Linked DNA regions of Arabidopsis thaliana. The protein of the gene in region 1 binds, or shares a complex with, the protein of each later gene. Each region holds a gene or a part of one and is shown on either strand. Other genes may lie near its edges.

Evidence for each region.
Region 2: AT3G09455 (region 1) and AT1G11560 share a complex: the UniProt entries of both Arabidopsis thaliana proteins name them as parts of the oligosaccharyltransferase (OST) complex.

What each region holds. Positions count from the first base shown.
Region 1 is NC_003074.8:2,906,570-2,915,241, reverse strand, and holds AT3G09455 (dolichyl-diphosphooligosaccharide-protein glycosyltransferase subunit), read left to right. Parts: upstream 1-3,887; 5' UTR 3,888-4,136; intron 4,137-4,507; coding exon 4,508-4,615; 3' UTR 4,616-4,831; downstream 4,832-8,672. Other genes in the region: AT3G09480 (Histone superfamily protein), read left to right, coding at 1-352; AT3G09470 (Major facilitator superfamily protein), read left to right, coding at 832-1,002, 1,134-1,291, 1,396-1,459, 1,554-1,667, 1,786-1,830, 2,031-2,281, 2,583-2,673, 2,770-2,882 and 2 more; AT3G09450 (fusaric acid resistance family protein), read right to left, coding at 5,151-6,776, 6,910-7,077, 7,161-7,694. UniProt on the Arabidopsis thaliana protein: Subunit of the oligosaccharyl transferase (OST) complex that catalyzes the initial transfer of a defined glycan (Glc(3)Man(9)GlcNAc(2) in eukaryotes) from the lipid carrier dolichol-pyrophosphate to an asparagine residue within an Asn-X-Ser/Thr consensus motif in nascent polypeptide chains, the first step in protein N-glycosylation.
Region 2 is NC_003070.9:3,877,666-3,886,602, forward strand, and holds AT1G11560 (Oligosaccharyltransferase complex/magnesium transporter family protein), read left to right. Parts: upstream 1-3,961; 5' UTR 3,962-4,122; coding exon 4,123-5,154; downstream 5,155-8,937. Other genes in the region: XTH8 (xyloglucan endotransglucosylase/hydrolase 8), read right to left, coding at 1,024-1,432, 1,843-2,045, 2,144-2,244, 2,417-2,621; NTL (NTF2-like protein), read left to right, coding at 5,552-5,938, 6,217-6,291; AT1G11572 (Plant thionin family protein), read left to right, coding at 6,790-7,059. UniProt on the Arabidopsis thaliana protein: Subunit of the oligosaccharyl transferase (OST) complex that catalyzes the initial transfer of a defined glycan (Glc(3)Man(9)GlcNAc(2) in eukaryotes) from the lipid carrier dolichol-pyrophosphate to an asparagine residue within an Asn-X-Ser/Thr consensus motif in nascent polypeptide chains, the first step in protein N-glycosylation.

The DNA.
Region 1 (8,672 bases):
GGAGAAAGCACCAAAGGCAGATAAGAAGATCACGAAAGAAGGAGGAAGCGAGAGGAAGAAGAAGACTAAGAAGAGCACAGAGACGTACAAGATCTACCTATTCAAGGTGTTGAAACAAGTTCATCCTGATATCGGGATCTCTGGAAAAGCCATGGGAATCATGAACAGTTTCATCAACGACACCTTCGAGAAAATTGCTCTGGAATCGTCGCGATTGGCTAGGTATAACAAGAAACCGACGATCACGTCCCGGGAAATCCAAACCGCCGTAAGGCTCGTGTTGCCTGGTGAATTAGCGAAGCACGCTGTTTCTGAGGGTACCAAAGCCGTCACCAAATTCACCAGTTCTTAGATTAGGTTCTTTTTTTCTCTTCGATTTTATTTTCGGTTAATATGTTCACCAGTTGATTTCAAAGATATAATTTTCGGCAGTCTCTTCGATATTTTCTATGATTGATTTTACGTTATGATGCTATTGAAATTAGGGTTTACAAATCTTTGGGTATAATAAATACAAAATTGTAAAGGATCTCGTTTCTTCCTCAGTTTCCCCGGGAAATAAACGGAAATTATAAATCTTGAGATTCTTTAATTGGCCCAGCCCAACAAACACCAATCTCAATTTAGTCTGAACCGATATAAATTGAAATTAGAAATACCGTACCAAAATAAACCGAACCGCAATCATCACCGGTCTTGGAAGTTCCAAATCTCTGAAACGGTAGGCATCGATCTCTCTCTCTACAGAGTTTGACTTTCACTCTCTCCGTGGAGCACCGCTCATCTTTCCCGGAGCTGTAGTCAGTGAGGTGACCGGACTAAATCTCCGCCATGGAATCTCGAAACGACGAGGAGGCGCCGTTGATCTCTGCCTCTGGTGAGGATCGGAAAGTCAGAGCTGGAAAGTGCTACACAAGGGATGTTCATATCCTCAGCATCTCCTTTCTGCTAATCTTCCTCGCTTACGGTGCTGCTCAGAACCTCGAAACTACCGTAAATAAGGTGCTCTACCGTTAAATTATACTGTCATTTTGTATTGATGGATCTTAAGAGAGAGGAATATGAATTTAGGAGCAGGACATGTTAGACTGTGTGTGTGTGTTGTGATATTTGAGTTGTTTTGATTACTTCAGGATTTGGGAACAATCTCTCTGGGGATATTGTATGTGTCCTTCATGTTTTGCTCCATGGTTGCATCTTTGGTTGTCCGGTTAATGGGATCAAAGAATGCTCTGGTTTTAGGAACTACTGGGTATTGGCTCTTTGTTGCTGCTAATCTGAAGCCATCATGGTATTATCATATGTTCTCTTGCTTCTTTTGGCCACCTGTCTCCATCTATTTGAATCTTTTAGTCTTTAACACTTTTTGTCTTGATATATGGTTATTGGTTCTAGGTTTACTATGGTACCAGCCTCTTTATACCTTGGATTTGCAGCTTCAATAATATGGGTTGGTCAGGTGACACTACATGCTCTTGTTTTCTCTTAATGTTATTTATGCGGATATATAGTGGATTTCATGACCTTAAATTACATTGTATTGACTGCATTAGGGAACATACCTTACATCAATTGCGAGAAGCCATGCTACAGATCATGGCCTGCATGAAGGTTCGGTAATAGGTGTCTTCAATGGGGAATTTTGGGCTATGTTTGCCTGCCACCAGGTGCATGTTTCTTTTATTATGCTTTCTTAATGCTCTTTCTTCTTTGGTTACCTCAGAATCTTGTATGCACTTACTCTTAATTCTTCTTGTGACACATTTCATGTCAATCTTTTTGTAGCTGTTTGGGAATCTCATCACACTTGCATTACTGAAAGATGGAAAGGTACTAACTTTTCTTTATCGTTGACAGCAATCTCATGTATTAGAGTTATTAGTATTGACTACTGTTTAATGAAGTGATCATTCCTAAAGTTGGAGTATTGAATAGCAGATCATGCTACACATTCTCAGTGATGAATTATATATACCTCCTTCTAGTTGGGTATCCCCACCATTGTTTTCTTCTTGTTGACATGACTGTAGGAAGGAAGCACCAGTGGCACTACCTTATTGATGTTGGTGTTTCTCTTCAGTATGACATTAGGAACAATACTTATGTTCTTCATTCGGAAAATTGATGGAGAAGATGGAAAAGGACCTGTGGGTTCTCCTGTGGGCTTAGTTGATTCCTTGGCATCTCTTCCAAGGATGATAATTACTCCTTTGCTCGACATACGGATGCTACTGATTGTCCCACTCCTTGCATATTCAGGATTGCAACAAGCATTTGTTTGGTATGTCTCTCAACAAACTGGATATACATTCCCCGTTTTCCCTTTTATTCTCACAAGGATATCCTTAAATGATTAGGATTTATTGCGATCAAAGTTATTATCGGTCAGGCCCTAGATAACGTACATAAAGTTCATTGTGGTGGTTGGAGTCTCAGGATCTTAGCAGTGAATAGTTGTTTCCAATCTATACATAAGTTTTCATTTCTTGTCAGCGAAATCAGCAAAAGTTTGTTATTTTTTTTGTAAGATATACTGATATAAATCTTCATTATTCTTACAAGTTACATTTTCCACTCTATAGGGCTGAGTTTACAAAGGAAATTGTTACGCCGGCGATTGGTGTCTCAGGTGTTGGTGGGGCGATGGCAGTCTACGGAGCTCTTGATGCAGTTGTAAGTTAAAAGGAAACGTAAAAAATCATCCTTTTTTACTCTCGTGTTTTTTTTATGTGGTTAATCCTTATTTTTCCTGCTGTAAAATCATTCTAGTGTTCAATGACTGCTGGAAGGTTTACCTCTGGTTTGTCATCGATCACCTTCATAGTTTCTGGTGGAGCTGTTGCTCAAGCTTCTGTGTTTCTCTGGCTTCTTCTCGGGTACAGGTTTGATACTTCTACACCCTATTTTCATTCAAACCATTAGCAACTTCACAAATAGAGACATATCGAGTCTAGAAGTCCTTGTGTTTCTGAATTCATGAAATGATTTCCTCATAAAGCTTCATTATGGGTATTGGTATGTATTAGTGGCATTGATCAAGCAACTTCCTTTGGTAGTATCCCGATTTCTTTGTCATATTTGTGAAACTATGCAAGTTCTGAAGAGAATTAGGAATTGCGGGCACCTGACAACCTATAAGTGTTTCTGAAGAATCTAAGCTATGGTGATATGGTGATGCAGGCAAACTAGCGGAGTACTTGGCACAGCTTACCCACTTATAATGGCGGCCATATTAGGAATTGGTGATGGAATATTAAATACTCAAATCAGTGCTCTTCTCGCATTACTCTTCAAACATGACACGGTTAATATTATCAAAATATTATTATTGTTATTCTCTCAACTGACAAATCCTCTAAACGGTCTCCTATGTTTGTACTTGTGAAAACAGGAAGGAGCATTTGCGCAGCTAAAAGTATGGCAGAGCGCAGCAATAGCGATAGTGTTCTTCCTAAGCCCGTACATATCACTGCAAGCAATGCTCATAGTGATGCTGGTTATGGTCTGTGTTTCACTCTTCTCTTTCCTGTTTTTAGCTCTTAAGGTAGAGAATGTATTTACCCACGACGAATAACTCTTTGATCTGTTCACATTCGGGGAGATCACAAGTGTGAAAAGCTTAAAACAGTATTGTCTATTCAATTGTAAAGAACAAAAATGGTCGTTTTGTATAATAATTAATGTCTCTGGAAGTTCCTTATAATTGAGACTTGGGAAGTATGCAACTTTTCAATTTTTCAGTCTTTCCTTTATTCATGTCCTGGATATGACATTTGTAGCAAACCGATATTGACCAAATTAAACCACAAGAACCAAATCTAATAGATGTGAATTTCTCGGTTAAATTAACTAGAAACGTCGTCGTTTGGAGCTAGCTTTTACTTTATTTTTGTAAAACATGTGTTTCATTCAGAGAGACTTCACAGTTGAAGAAACACATTTCACGAGTTCCCTGCTCTTCCAGAATTCTCTATCACGAAATTCTCTGCGCTTTCGAAGGTAAATAATCGGTGATTTCTTTAGGATCTTTTTTTATATACCTTCATATTTTCGAATTCAAATTCTGGTTCTTAGGCATAATTTAGTCCCCGAGGTTTACACTGTGATCTGAGCAAAGCCTTTGTTTCATCTCACAGGTATCAGATTCAACCAATGTCGTGGTTTGGTTATCTTATGAATCAATATTATTTTTATTAACACGTATTGTTCTTACTAGATTTCGTGTTCCAGATCAGGTCTTGTTTGTAGAAGAAATATATATTGAATTTGTAATCAAAATCATGGATTCATTATAATGTATGACCGTAATCGTTGCTACCAATTTTGATAATGATTCGGATATCCTCTAGATCTAGCTGAGATTTTGGAGTGATTTCTACAAGATATAGCTGAGAATGTAGTAGATGTGAACATTTTTGTGAATATCTGATTCGTTTAATCTTCAGACTTCACTTGCTAAGCTTAGCTCTTTGTTCTAATATTCTCTCCAATGGTTATTGTGTTACAGATGTTTGACGATCAAGATCTGGGATTCTTTGCCAATTTCCTGGGAATCTTCATTTTCATACTGGTGATTGCCTACCATTTCGTCATGGCTGACCCTAAATTCGAATAGAAATGAGGTTCAGAATCATTGTTGGTTTCTACAATGTTATGTCAGACTCAACATGTCATTCAGATTCGATACTTGAAGATGTTTTTTTGTAGCTCTTAAGGAAGATGTTTAAGCTTTTGTAATACTTGGTTTTAGCTGCAGAAATCTTTTTTTTTTGTAGTGCTGTTATTCATATACTTTGATAATTCGCTATAAAAGGCTTGTTTCTATAGCAATTTCCGGGTCTTGCATGTTAAATTATGAGCGGATTTGTTATCTGATAGGTTGGTGAAAGCTTTGCTGTATATTTTTGTTTGGATTTACATGTTCATTGATACAAGACCAATCACGAGTCCGTGTATCTGTTAGAGCTAGAGCTAGATGAACTCCAGTTAATAATGAGAATTGTTCTGTTTGCAGCGTTTCTATGTTTTGTTGCTCTAGAGAAACAATTTGCTTCGTTTTTGCTCTTTTTTAGATTAATTTTGTACACCAAACGTTTCTTACAAAATGGTTTGTGCTATAGGTACTAACATCCTCTAGAATTCTTCCAAAATCAAGTTGTATGGGTTATTTCTGTCATAATACATATTGTTTCCTGCATTAATCTGCTAATGCAGAACCCTAGACTGCTCAGACATAGGGCAGTTTCACTCTTGAACGCATCGTCTGCTGTGTTACAACTTATCTTGTCTGTTGCTTCCTTCAGTAGCATGACGAAAGAAACCGAAAACCTCTCCACATCAGCCTGGCTTGGACCCAGCTCCATGTATGAGTAGTTGTCGTTTGATGTTGTTCCTGCTTCAACATCATGGCAGATCTTTCTCTTCTGCAACTCCTTTTGGAGTCTTGCTTGAGACTTGGTTTGAGAAATCTCTTTTAAGCATTTCACCGAAGGGTGAAGCTTTTCTTGGAAGGCTCTAAGCTCATGAGTGATGTTGTCCCAAGGAAATGCAAGTGTTGGTTGAACTCCAGATAGATTTTTGAGGCCATCACAAACATAGAGACAAAGATCAGATATCTTCGAGAAAGAGCCCAAAAGCCTGTTGTAACTGTCCGTGTTGAGCCGGCGGAGGAACGGAATCTTAGGCTCTGTTAAGGCTTCTGCTGCAAACCTCTCTAATGCTTCAACATGAGATTTGAGTTTTACCTGACTTTTTCTCAAATCTGCAACCACTTTCTGGTTCTTCTGCTCAGAACAAAGAACGAGTGATTGGATGCAATCTAAGAGGGCATCGAGACAGTGTGAAATTTCGGTTCTTGCAAGCGTTGCTGCTCTCGCAGGGGTGACAAGAATCTCCCCGAAGACAAAACAGAGCAACCCGATCGAAGCTTCAACGATGCGAGCGATTGCAAATTCAGTTGGAGCTCCATAATTTCTCCTCCCAAGTATCAACAGTGCAGCAATTGCAGCCGTAACTCCTCCAGGCTGGCCATAGACTTTGCTGTGCCTCATGAAGACGGCGAGGATTATCCAAGGGAGAAGAGGTAAGAACCTGAATTCTTCTAGTCTTTGGAAAACAGAACAACATATTAGACCGTAGACTGATCCCATGGCTGTCCCTTGTAGACGAGAATTTGCTACTGTTAGTGTTGCTTGCCTACCGCTTACAAGGCTAATGGCTACAGTTAGACCCGACCAATACCCGTTATTTTTATTATACAGTATACCAAACAGCACCGCAAGGCCAAGAGAAATTGAGCACTTGAATGCAAAAACAAACCTTTCTCTGGCCATCCAGACACAGAGAATGTCCCAAAACTTTCTGGCCATGGACAACCCTTCGTTTGCTGGATGAATTTCTTCCTCCGTGGTCCTTCCATTTACGGATTTACTGTCTTGTCTCAAAGATAAGAAATCACCTCTGAAGAGTTCTACGCAGTACCGGAAGAAGCAAACCGGTAAAGCTGCAGTAGACAGAGACTCAGCCTCATGATGCCACCCTAGACTATCTTGGGACTTGAGAGTAGATTCTGACCGTGGAGCAATATGTGTCCTGGGACCTTCTAAAAGACGAGTCAGTTCGTCGCGGCTCATGCCTTGAGGAAAGGAACTGCAAGAGCCCAAAGCCAGCTCCAATCCCCTCAACAGAAAATCTGTTGCATGCAGTTTCTCTGCAGGATCCAACTTCTGCTTCCTGCTCAAGAATCTTGTATCTGGTCTCTCCCATGATATACGCTCCTGTTGCCAAAGAATTGATTAGTCAGAAACAGATAATTAGTCCCACAAGACGGGTCAAAACAAAAGAGTTACAGTTATATAACAGATGATATTTCAGTGATTATGCTTAATTTTGTTTAGACAGTTGGCTTACATGGTGGATTTTGATGTTCTTGAGTGTGTTTTTAGCTGCTGCAGACAATGAAGCAGCCCGTGCGATCAAAACCTGAGCTGTGGTGTTGTCTCGTGCCATCATGATCTCCACAAACATATTCAACCTCTCAAGAGCATTTTCAGCATATAATTTGCAACCCTTACTCATCTGCAAACCATTTAAAACCCAAGGTAAGTATTTTGTGACCATCTCATCGTCGTGGAAAAACAAAAAAAAAACTCAAGACTCACCTGACTATGAGCCAGCCTTGGAAACGGGAGAAGCACTGCGATGAGTGAAGCAATGGCTCCAAGTGCTGTACTGCCTGCCACATGAACCGGGAGCATGAATACATGAGCCACCTCTCCATTGAACACCACAAAAGTCACGTAGACTACAACAATCTGCCCAAAGGCAATCCGTTTAGTCAGCAGACTCGTGGACACGGGGAAAGCCACTATGAATGAAGCTAGAGCCACAGCAACTGGAGCCACCAAGCCATTCCCTAGTGAAGCTGGTCCAACCACCAAGACACTCACTAGCGCAATGGCTATTGTCTGAAAAGTGGCGTAAGAGACATCAAGACAGCACTTGAGAACTTCGCCGTATGTTGGTTCAGCATCGGAGAGCCAGATCAAGATTGTGGTCAGGTAAGAAAAGGCTGGAAACGTTGTGAAGTGTCTTAGTGGTTTGGGACCGTACAAAGTGGTTAAGCTCACGATGAGACAAGCCATGGCGGTTCGCAGAGCCAGGCCAAGTCGCTCGAGCCATGTTGTGTCGCGCATTCTTTTAACGGATTGTTGTTTTAGTGGATTTGTATGTAGGAATACTTGTTAGATAAAGATGATGAGATGAAGGTTATGGTGAGCAAGAAGACTACGTATATATAAGGTGTGATGGGATTTAAAGTGGCAACGTCAAAGAGTTAAGACTTTTGAGCAGCTGTCTTTTAACTCCAAGTACTTTCATTTTCTATATTGTGTAGTTACCAAACCAAACCAGTCTCTGTACTGCATCTGGTTAGTTTCGGTTTAGGCAGTGCCTCATACATCAAAGGAGGGAAGAGACACTGATATTTCAAATAGTTTGGGTTAAATTAGGCCATGCCATATACAAATAGTTGGAAGGGAAACTAATTTTAACCGAATGGATTACGGTTTAGTTTGGTTTAGGCCATGCCCATATATCCGGTTTCGGTTTGACTTACACTGTTCTAGTTTTGGTACCAATTTCAAGTTTGATTGTGTCTTCTTATTTTCCGATACTTTTCGTATATATCGAAGAAAATGTAACTGGTGATAAACCGAAATAAAACTTGAATCACTTTTTGGATACAGCTTGGTCAGATTAAACCAAATGGGACATCTCTAAAATTGAGGCACGTATAGGTTGGAAACGAGTCAAAACCAGCTGGTTTCATACTCTAAAACTAAAACATAATGGTTTCAAATACTAATTGATAAAACAGTATTTTCTACAAGTTTCTCGAGAGTTTAAAATGTTATAATTTCTCCACGTAATCGACCTTTCATTTCTCGATTTAAAATGTGGTAGACCGAAAAAAGGGTAAGATTAAATATAGGAATAAGACAAAAGAGAAGAAGAAGAAGTGATATGAAAGACATTAGTCTCATCAACAGTTCGAGTTCAAGTAGAGATCGAGAGCATTAATCACAAGCTGCACGCTTCATGGTTAGTATTGTTTCCTCTTCACCAGGTAATTTCCATGGCATAATCAATTTGGTCCTACTCTATCATATACT
Region 2 (8,937 bases), on another chromosome or scaffold:
GGGAGAAAAGTTTGAATATTTGCATACAAGTTTGGAAAGAAATACTTGTGCTATGTGTAAATGTCCTTTGACTATCAAGACGAGAAATGGGCTAGAAACATATATGGGAGACAAGTTCTAGAGGAAAAATGATGTTAGCAAGCTTAGTTGACATTGTGGTTCAAAGTAAGTTTACGAACATATTTAATTTATAGTGTGTAAGAAAACGTACTATTTATTTTATCCCACCAGTATGTCATATTATTATTTTTATACCCAAAAGTGAGGCAATCGTAATAAAATGCAAGAAATTCAAAATTGTCAATCAAAAATGAATTGTTTTTCAAATTAAAAATGCGATAAATAGTGTTCATCACTTGGCACGTAAAAGGTTGACTTTTAATATCGGAATGAATCCGGACATAACACATGTCCAACTTGGCATATTTAGCAAACTTGGACTATTTATTAGAAGATAGTGTTTATAGAAGAAATGTACATTAAAAAACGGTAAATCGCTAATCCTAGGCCTATCCTCACGATTGTGATGTAATGTAACCCACTTCCGTTGATTTCTTCAAAGAAATCAAAAGTTGTGGGTTCTTCTAGAGATGCTACTACTACAACGATCGATGGACGATTGTCATTGATGTTATCGAATGGTAAATCGGACAAAAGTTTCTGGATATGCTCTCTTATAATATCACAATCACAAATGCTATTTCTTTTCAATAAGGTATTTGGGCTTCATTAGTAGCTGTAGCTGAACCTTTTGTTTGTCACATGTCTTTACTCTTATGCTCATCCATGTTCGTTTATATTTTTGACCCACTGTTCTGTTCTGAGACCTTAAGTGTAAGAAGAATTCTCAAGTTAATATACATCTTAAAAAGCAGTTATGAAATATAGCCGACTAAATAAATAATTAATTAAATAAATAAACAGAGGATATAGTCCATAACAAAATAAGAAATGCCAAAAAAAAGAGAGTAAAATTATTACATAAACCATTTCCACTTTAATACACTCAAAACAAAATTGATTTTAAGCCCAAGGGCTAATGGAACACTCCCAAGGAAGAGTAGGGAACCTCTCACTGTCTTTGCAATAATCGTATACGACGAGATTACGCTGCACCCACGCATAATCCATCTTCTGTGTCTTGGACAAATGCCACGCGTCGTACTGATCCCACCAATTCTCTGTTGTGGTAGAGACGCATGCAGGGAATGGATCCTTCCAACGGCAGCCTTCGACGGCGAAGTCCTTGTAAGAAGAGACGAATGGAGCTTTTTTCCAGTCAGTCTTCTCCAGACCACCACGTGTAGCCCAATCGTCAGCGTTCCAAATGCTGGAGAACAAGTACATCGGCTTCTGGTTCGGGAAGAAGTCGTTGTTTGGTACCTTATCACTGTTCTTGTATACTCGAATTGGTACCCTATCCACGAAGAACCTGGTTTGGATTGGATTAAACCGGGTTATGCATTGTACCAATCGATAAAATTAGCTTTGATTGACCAATTCGGTTCGAGTTGGTCTAGTTTGAGTTCTTTAAAGTTTGGTTAAGATAGGCTTGCTTTGGTCGGTTTGAACTTTAAACCAGATTGGAATTTTTGTGTCGGTCGAAATTTGAATCTGCACCATTTAAGTTTTCTCAAAGCTAAACGTAAGAAAACAGGATTGAACCTATTGTGAAATTAATCTGTAAACTGAATTATGTTATTGTGAGTGGAATGTTGGTTCTAACTTCGAACCGATCATAAACCTAAGGTTCCGGTTTCTACCCAAAATTCCCGGTACAGTTCGTGGTATCTCTATATATGTAGCCAACTAACCATTAGCCAAGATCAAGAGAGGACTTACACAAGCTGGTGGTTATTCCAAAGAATTGAGTAGGTGTGATAATCCTTGGTCGGGTCGAACCAGAGGGAATGTCGCATCTCCCGATTCCCGGTTCCGTTCTTATACACATTGGTCTGAATAATGTAAGGCTGTCCGGTTCGGTTCCCTAGAAATTCGAAATCTATCTCGTCTCTCTCCGGTCCTGCCCCATTCTCCGAACACATCTGCTCAACCAAATTTAATCTAAAATAATTAATACAAAACAAAATCATTGGTTATCTTCTTTACAAAATTGAAACATTAAATAAGAACGACGGCTCACGTAGTAAGCGGTGACGACGCCGGCGGAGTCGCCTCCGACGAGCTTTAGCTTCATACTAAACCATCCGAATCTATACATGTGCTTTGTCTGAAATCCACATCCTGTTTTATTTTTTATCCAATCAGAATATTTAAACTTTCGATATAATAATCAAGAGACTAAGTTAAAAAATGTCATGTAGATTTAAGTAGGAACAGAGTAAGTATCAGTGTAATTTCGAAAGACTAGAACGGCATTGATCCTAAACCGGAAGCAAACTGGATTTGAACGTACCGGTGTCGTTATCTAAGGAAAGATTCCAGATCTCTCCATCATCGGAAGTCGTGAAGTGATTTTCAGACCACATAATGTTGAAATTATCTTCAAACGATTGTGTCGGTGTTGCTGCGATAGAGGACGACGCCATTAGAGCCGTCATGAACAAGAACAGAGCCGTCATGGCAGAACAGCTCGTTATGATCCTCCTTTCCGTCTCCATTGGTTGTCTCTACTTCGAATATTTCGAAGAGAGAGAGAGAGAGAGGTAATGCAATCTACACTTGTTCCGTGAGTGAGAAGAGTATAGAGCTTTCTTGCTTTTATTATAAAGACCGGGGAAATGACTGTTTTGACCATTAATAATTCTTTTAATATGCTATTGCGTTTAGACTTTTGATACGGTTTTTTTTCTAAGATTTTCATGTAATAATGATGTTTACGATAATTTGTAAAAGAAAGCAAAAAGGGTAAATGAAAAAGTTTAATTAAAGAAAACTAACAGTAAAACTCAATGATTTTTATGTTAATCAAGTGTAAACTGTTTGGTTATAATACACACGGTTTAGCTAATTAAAAGCCGACCGGTTTATTCATTAAGTTGCTGAGATAGGTCATTTGAACCATATTGATGAGCTAGCAAGGGTACTATAGGAAATATAGAAAACAACAGCAGAACATGGAGAATTGGATCTCCAGGCTGCCACCAAGTGGAAGTGGGATCCATAGAAATGTTCATGTAAAAGCAAAACCAAAAACATTATTTAACTCTGTACTTTAATTCTTTGGTTAATCTTCACTTAGTAAATCTGATATGGGAATATGTCTAACAAAACCCAAATAATATAGGCGAACATGCTTCGGAACATAATATTTTGTTCAACAAAAGAAAGAGTTTGCCTTGCCTCTCTCATATTTTGTTAGCCCAAGACAAGGCACGTGAAACAAGCACGTTATGAATAAGAAAGCAGGGAAATAATACACCTGGAGTTACTAAATTATTAGGTTGACAAAGATTAGTTTATTGGATTGTCTCTTGCATAATCCGGTATTCTTACATTTTTACATAATTACTATTTTTTGTATGGATATGAATGTTTCAGATCTAAGATTGTAGACTGAGGTTTATATAATACCACAAGTATATGCAACTCGACCTTGTTACTTTAGACTATAATAGAGTAGTATTAAGATTATGATAATGACAAAAATGATTTCTTATACATTAATAATACCATTTAAATGATTTACGAGCGATGAAATAAATATGCATGGTCTAGTTTTATGTAAACTCTCTAATCCATGTATGAGTCTCTCTTTTTTGTATTACTAAGTGGTTTCTCATATGTTTCCTGTAAAAGAATCTCAACTTGTCGGCATGTCGGTCCTAATAAGAGAAACCAGAAGTGATCATCAATTTTATTGTTAATTATAGAATGTTTAAGTTTCACATATCATACAACAAGACAGTTTGGCCGAGTGGTCTAAGGCGCCAGATTTAGGCTCTGGTCCGAAAGGGCGTGGGTTCAAATCCCACAGCTGTCAATTTCTTTTCCTTTTTTTCCCTTCTTTAAAACTAAACCCTCTAACTCATCAAGAAGGTTCAATCAAACCTATAAACACCTAGAATTTTGAACAGTTCTTCACTTCTCCAGTATTTCCCGGCAATTCCAGATCTCTCTATCTCCTTTCTTCTTCAAATCCAATCAGAGAGTGATCTAAAAATGGTGATTCAAACGAATCTCTCATATCGTTTCTTCATCTTAATTGTGTTTTTATTTACCCTAGCGAATCCAAAATCAGATTCAGATCTCAAAAACGAACTAGTCTCCCTCCGATCAACCGCCGAATCAGGCGTGATCTCCTTCAACAACGACGACGTTTCCAAATTCATAACCTCCGTATCCACTCCTAGACCTTACTCACTCATCATCTTCTTCGACGCCGTTCATCTCCACGGCAATAGCCAGCTACGTCTTCCAGAGTTCCGCCGCGAATTCAGACTCGTCTCCGCCACTTTCATCACCAACAACAACAATGAATCTAACGGCACAAAGCTCTTCTTCTGCGAGATCGAATCAACTCACTCCGAGGCTTCTTTCCGCCGCTTCGCCGTCGAGTCACTACCACACATTTCCCTCGTTAGCCCCACGACAGAGAATTTAACAGAATCAGATCAAATGGACGGTGGAGATTTCACTGGATTAGCCGAATCAATGGCAGAGTTCGTCGAACGTCAAACAAAACTCACCGTTTGTTCAATCCAACGACCACCACTCATATCAAAGACACAAATCGGAATCATCGTTGCTATAATCATAATCTCGACTCCGATTCTCATCAAGAAGATTCTAAAAGGAGAAACACTTCTCCATGACCATAGAATCTGGTTAGTTGGCGCGGTTTTCGTCTACTTCTTCAGCGTCTCGGGGACAATGCATAACATCATTAGAGAAATGCCAATGTATATCAAAGATTATGAAGATTCAAGTAAGTTTGTTTTCTTTATAGAAGAATCAGAGATGCAGCTTGGAGCAGAAGGTTTCTTTGTAGGGTTTTTGTATACTGTTGTTGGATTGCTTTTGGCGTTTGTTACTAATGTAGTTGTACGAGTCAAGAAACTCGATGAGCAAAGGATGGCTATGCTTTTGGCTCTGTCTATATCGTTTTGGGCTGTGAGGAAAGTTGTTTACTTGGATAATTGGAAGACTGGTTATGAAATTTACCCATATTGGCCATCGAGTTGGCGGGGATGAGTGATCTTCACGTAAGGTTAGTTTTTCAAGATTGTGGAACTGATTAGTTAGTGTTTTGGCTTTCAATACTTGAACATGCATATAGCCAAGTTTATAGTTTAAAGATTCAATAATTGCAGTTTAGGATTCACGAATTTGTGCTAACTAGAGGAATGATTGCTCGAAGACTTATAATGCTTATGGTGTTGCTTTGCATCCATTGAGAAAGAGTACTCTACCAAATAATCGTTGCTTTACTATGTGTGAAGGTTTGGAAAAAGATTGTATGCAATACTTGACCCACAAGAAACCTTCTTAAAAGTGAAAAGATTCTCTCTTTGTTCTTTTCTTCCAGCTTTGTTTAAAGTTAAGCATCTAATTCCTTCACACCCTAGAATTTAATTACTTAAGAGAGCTCATGTTAATATTACTACTGTTTGGTTTTGCTAAGAAAATCAATTTTATTTTGGAAATTTTGACTATGGCAGAGACAAATAAAGGAATTGAAGAAGAAGTGGCAAGTGCTTTTGTGAATCACTACTACCATCTCTTTGACAACGATCGATCATCGCTTTCTTCTCTCTACAATCCCACCTCTTTGCTCACTTTTGAAGGCCAAACGATCTACGGCGTGGATAACATCTCCAATAAGCTTAAACAACTTCCGTTCGATCAATGCCATCATTTGATCAGCACCGTCGATTCTCAGCCGTCTTCAATGGCCGGTGGATGTGGTGGAATCCTAGTTTTTGTGAGCGGTAGCATCCAATTACATGGAGAGGATCATCCTCTTAGGTTTAGCCAGGTCTATCTCTTATCTATTTGTAATCGATTCGAAGGTTTCATTTGGTTAAAACAATCTTAGGTTTAGCTTAATCGATTTGCATAAAACAAAATGTTATTTTCATTGTTTTCTAGTTTCCATCGGTTTATCTTGGACCCCCGCTATAACAATCTTCAATTTTTAATGTTGTTACTAAATTATATGAATCAAACTATAAGCTATATAGTATGAGCCTGTATTATTTTATTTTTGTTGGATTTTTAGCTGACTTGAATAATAACATTATTTATTAATTGCAGACGTTTCACTTGATTCCGGTTCTGCAAGGAAGTTTCTTCGTCCAAAATGAGATGTTTCGGCTCAACTATGGTTGAACTTATTATAACTTTAATGTTTGTAATCGATTGATCTCTCTTATACGCCGAAATCCAACTGATAATGTAGTCAAATATTTTATGAAAATCTATCGTTTATCTTGACTAGTAAAACATATTGACTTTTTCTGTTATTTTCATATATGTAAACAAGTTTCGAGTTATTGAAAAACATTCGGCAATTATAGATTGGAAAAATCCATACAATATAAGACTATTAGTGAACGTAGATTCACATGATCCACTTTTTTAAAAAAAGCCGAATAAGACTTTTCTCTGCTCTCATATAATCTCGTCCACTCAATAGTTATTAAAAATAGGGATATCTCTGTGTATTTTAAAAATAGTGAAAATTGACGAAAAAATCGAACAAATATGAGGCTACTACTATCTTTTGACTCTTGACCATTCTCTTTTACTCAAAAACATTTCCTTCTCTTCCACGAAACCATTTTTCTCTCTCTCCCTTTTCCTGATCAACTTCTCACGAACTACAATATGAAGAACCGGAGCAAAAACTTAGCCACCCTGAGTTTGATGATAATTACGTTATTGACATGGTCGGATATCGTAGTAGGACAAGAAGCACTACTAGGAAAGAAAGTATTGCCGCTATGCCACAGAGAATGTATGCCAATATGCATGAAAGTGATCGAAGCCACGCAAGACATTTGCGAACCTGCATGCCAATCTGGTTGTCTTCAGCTTCAAGGTAGAGGCACCGGACTTTCAGCTTCCGATCAAGGAGTCGATATGGTCATTGCATAAATTAATATCTTTACCGGAAAAAGAAATCAAGATTTTGATATTACCAACATAGTTGCTTGATGTCGTTCACATGAATAGATTGTAAAATAGGGTTTCATATTTTGTATGATAAATGCATCATCCAATCCCTCCAAAACTAAAACAAAATGTAGTTAATCTACAGAATCCGACATCGTATACAATTTTTGTTTTTATAATTCATGGGGACAAGAAGAAGATCCCTTATGTGTTCGTCTCTTTATCTCATGATCAATCCTAAGATCATTTTAATTTATTAAATAAAATTACAGGTTAGCTTACAAACAAACAGTATATATATTGATACAAATCCAACGTCAGAAGAATTCATAAATAAATATCGATCGAGTGAGAGACAGTTTATAGTTCTTCTGAATTATTTTTGCAACAAAAACATAACAAAAATTATTCGTCACAGGGGTTATGACATTTAGCAAAAAAAATTACTTTGTCATAACCAAGTTATCTTTATCTCCGTTGTTATTTTAAATTGAAAAAAATGGATGACATACTAGTAATCTAGTATTTTCATAATTTTCAATCAATATGTATTCATTGATCGTTTAGGATAATGTTCAATTCTGGAATTTTGAACAATCATATAGCTCGTTAAACACACACAGAAAACAAATGGCTAGTAAATAAAACGATATGTCCAAAATATTCTTGCCATATTAAATTTAAAATATTTTGAATTTATTTGTCTGAGATGTTTATCCCCAAGCCCCCAGCTCTATACTAAGATAATGAAAAGAATATGGCCACCAATTATGCATTGCTTAGAATAATCGCACCAGTTGCGTCGTCTGTAAATGCATCAACTACAGCCTGAAAGAAAAAAAAGTGAAACTTAAAATTTTCAGAAAAGTACATAGGATTAACTTTGAATTATATATTTTGGGACCATTTTCTACAAATACAACATATTTATTTGACATAAAATAGTGAAGCATACATTTTTTTTTTTACGAGAAGTCTGTATTATTGATGATAAAAGTAGTGTTTTAATCATTGAAAATTCAACTAAATTGAGAAAAGTGCATCTAGAATTTTTATTTTCTTTCTTACTTTAGTGGACATATCCCTTTGGAAATTGAATACTATAAAAGAATGACCCTAGTGGCCCGGACAATAACAAAGTTAGAAAACAAGAAAATTATAATTAATTTACACTTGTAGATCGTATACTATAATTTACACTAGCAGACAGTCACAAACGTCGAGGACAATAAACTATCACTAAAAACTAAAAAGTAAATAAAATTAAGGAGAAAACAAAAATAAAATAAAATATTCTGCATATTTTTATCAATAATAGCAAATCACACAGTACGAGTCAAATGGATCAGACAAGTGATCTCAAACTCGGGAAGAAAATTTAGCAAAAAAAAAAACTCGGGAAGAAAAATTGATAGGAGACAAATATAACTAAAATAAAATAAAGACAAATCAAAATTTTAAAGTATTTTCTTTAACATTTACAAAAATAATCGAAGTTTAAGGATTTTATAGTTTCTATCATATGTAGACGCACAAGTGAAAGAAAAAAAAAAAAAAAAAAAACGCACAAGTGGTATCATCCATTGTTCTTCGCAATCGAATCTCCAATATTTTATTTTTATTGTTTCTTAATTCTTAAAAATGGGTCGGGTTCCGGGCCGACTCCATCTACTCCAAAACCACATGTTAAAACCGTGCCACCACTCAGAGCTATTGTAGATCTCTTTTAACTTTTTCATAACACTTGTAGAAAAATAGGAAACGAATCTGGTTTAAAATGTTTTTTTTTTTTGGATAAATCTTCTTTATATGTTATTTAAGGTTAATTACAAAATAAGAATAAAACTTTTCGTTGTATTT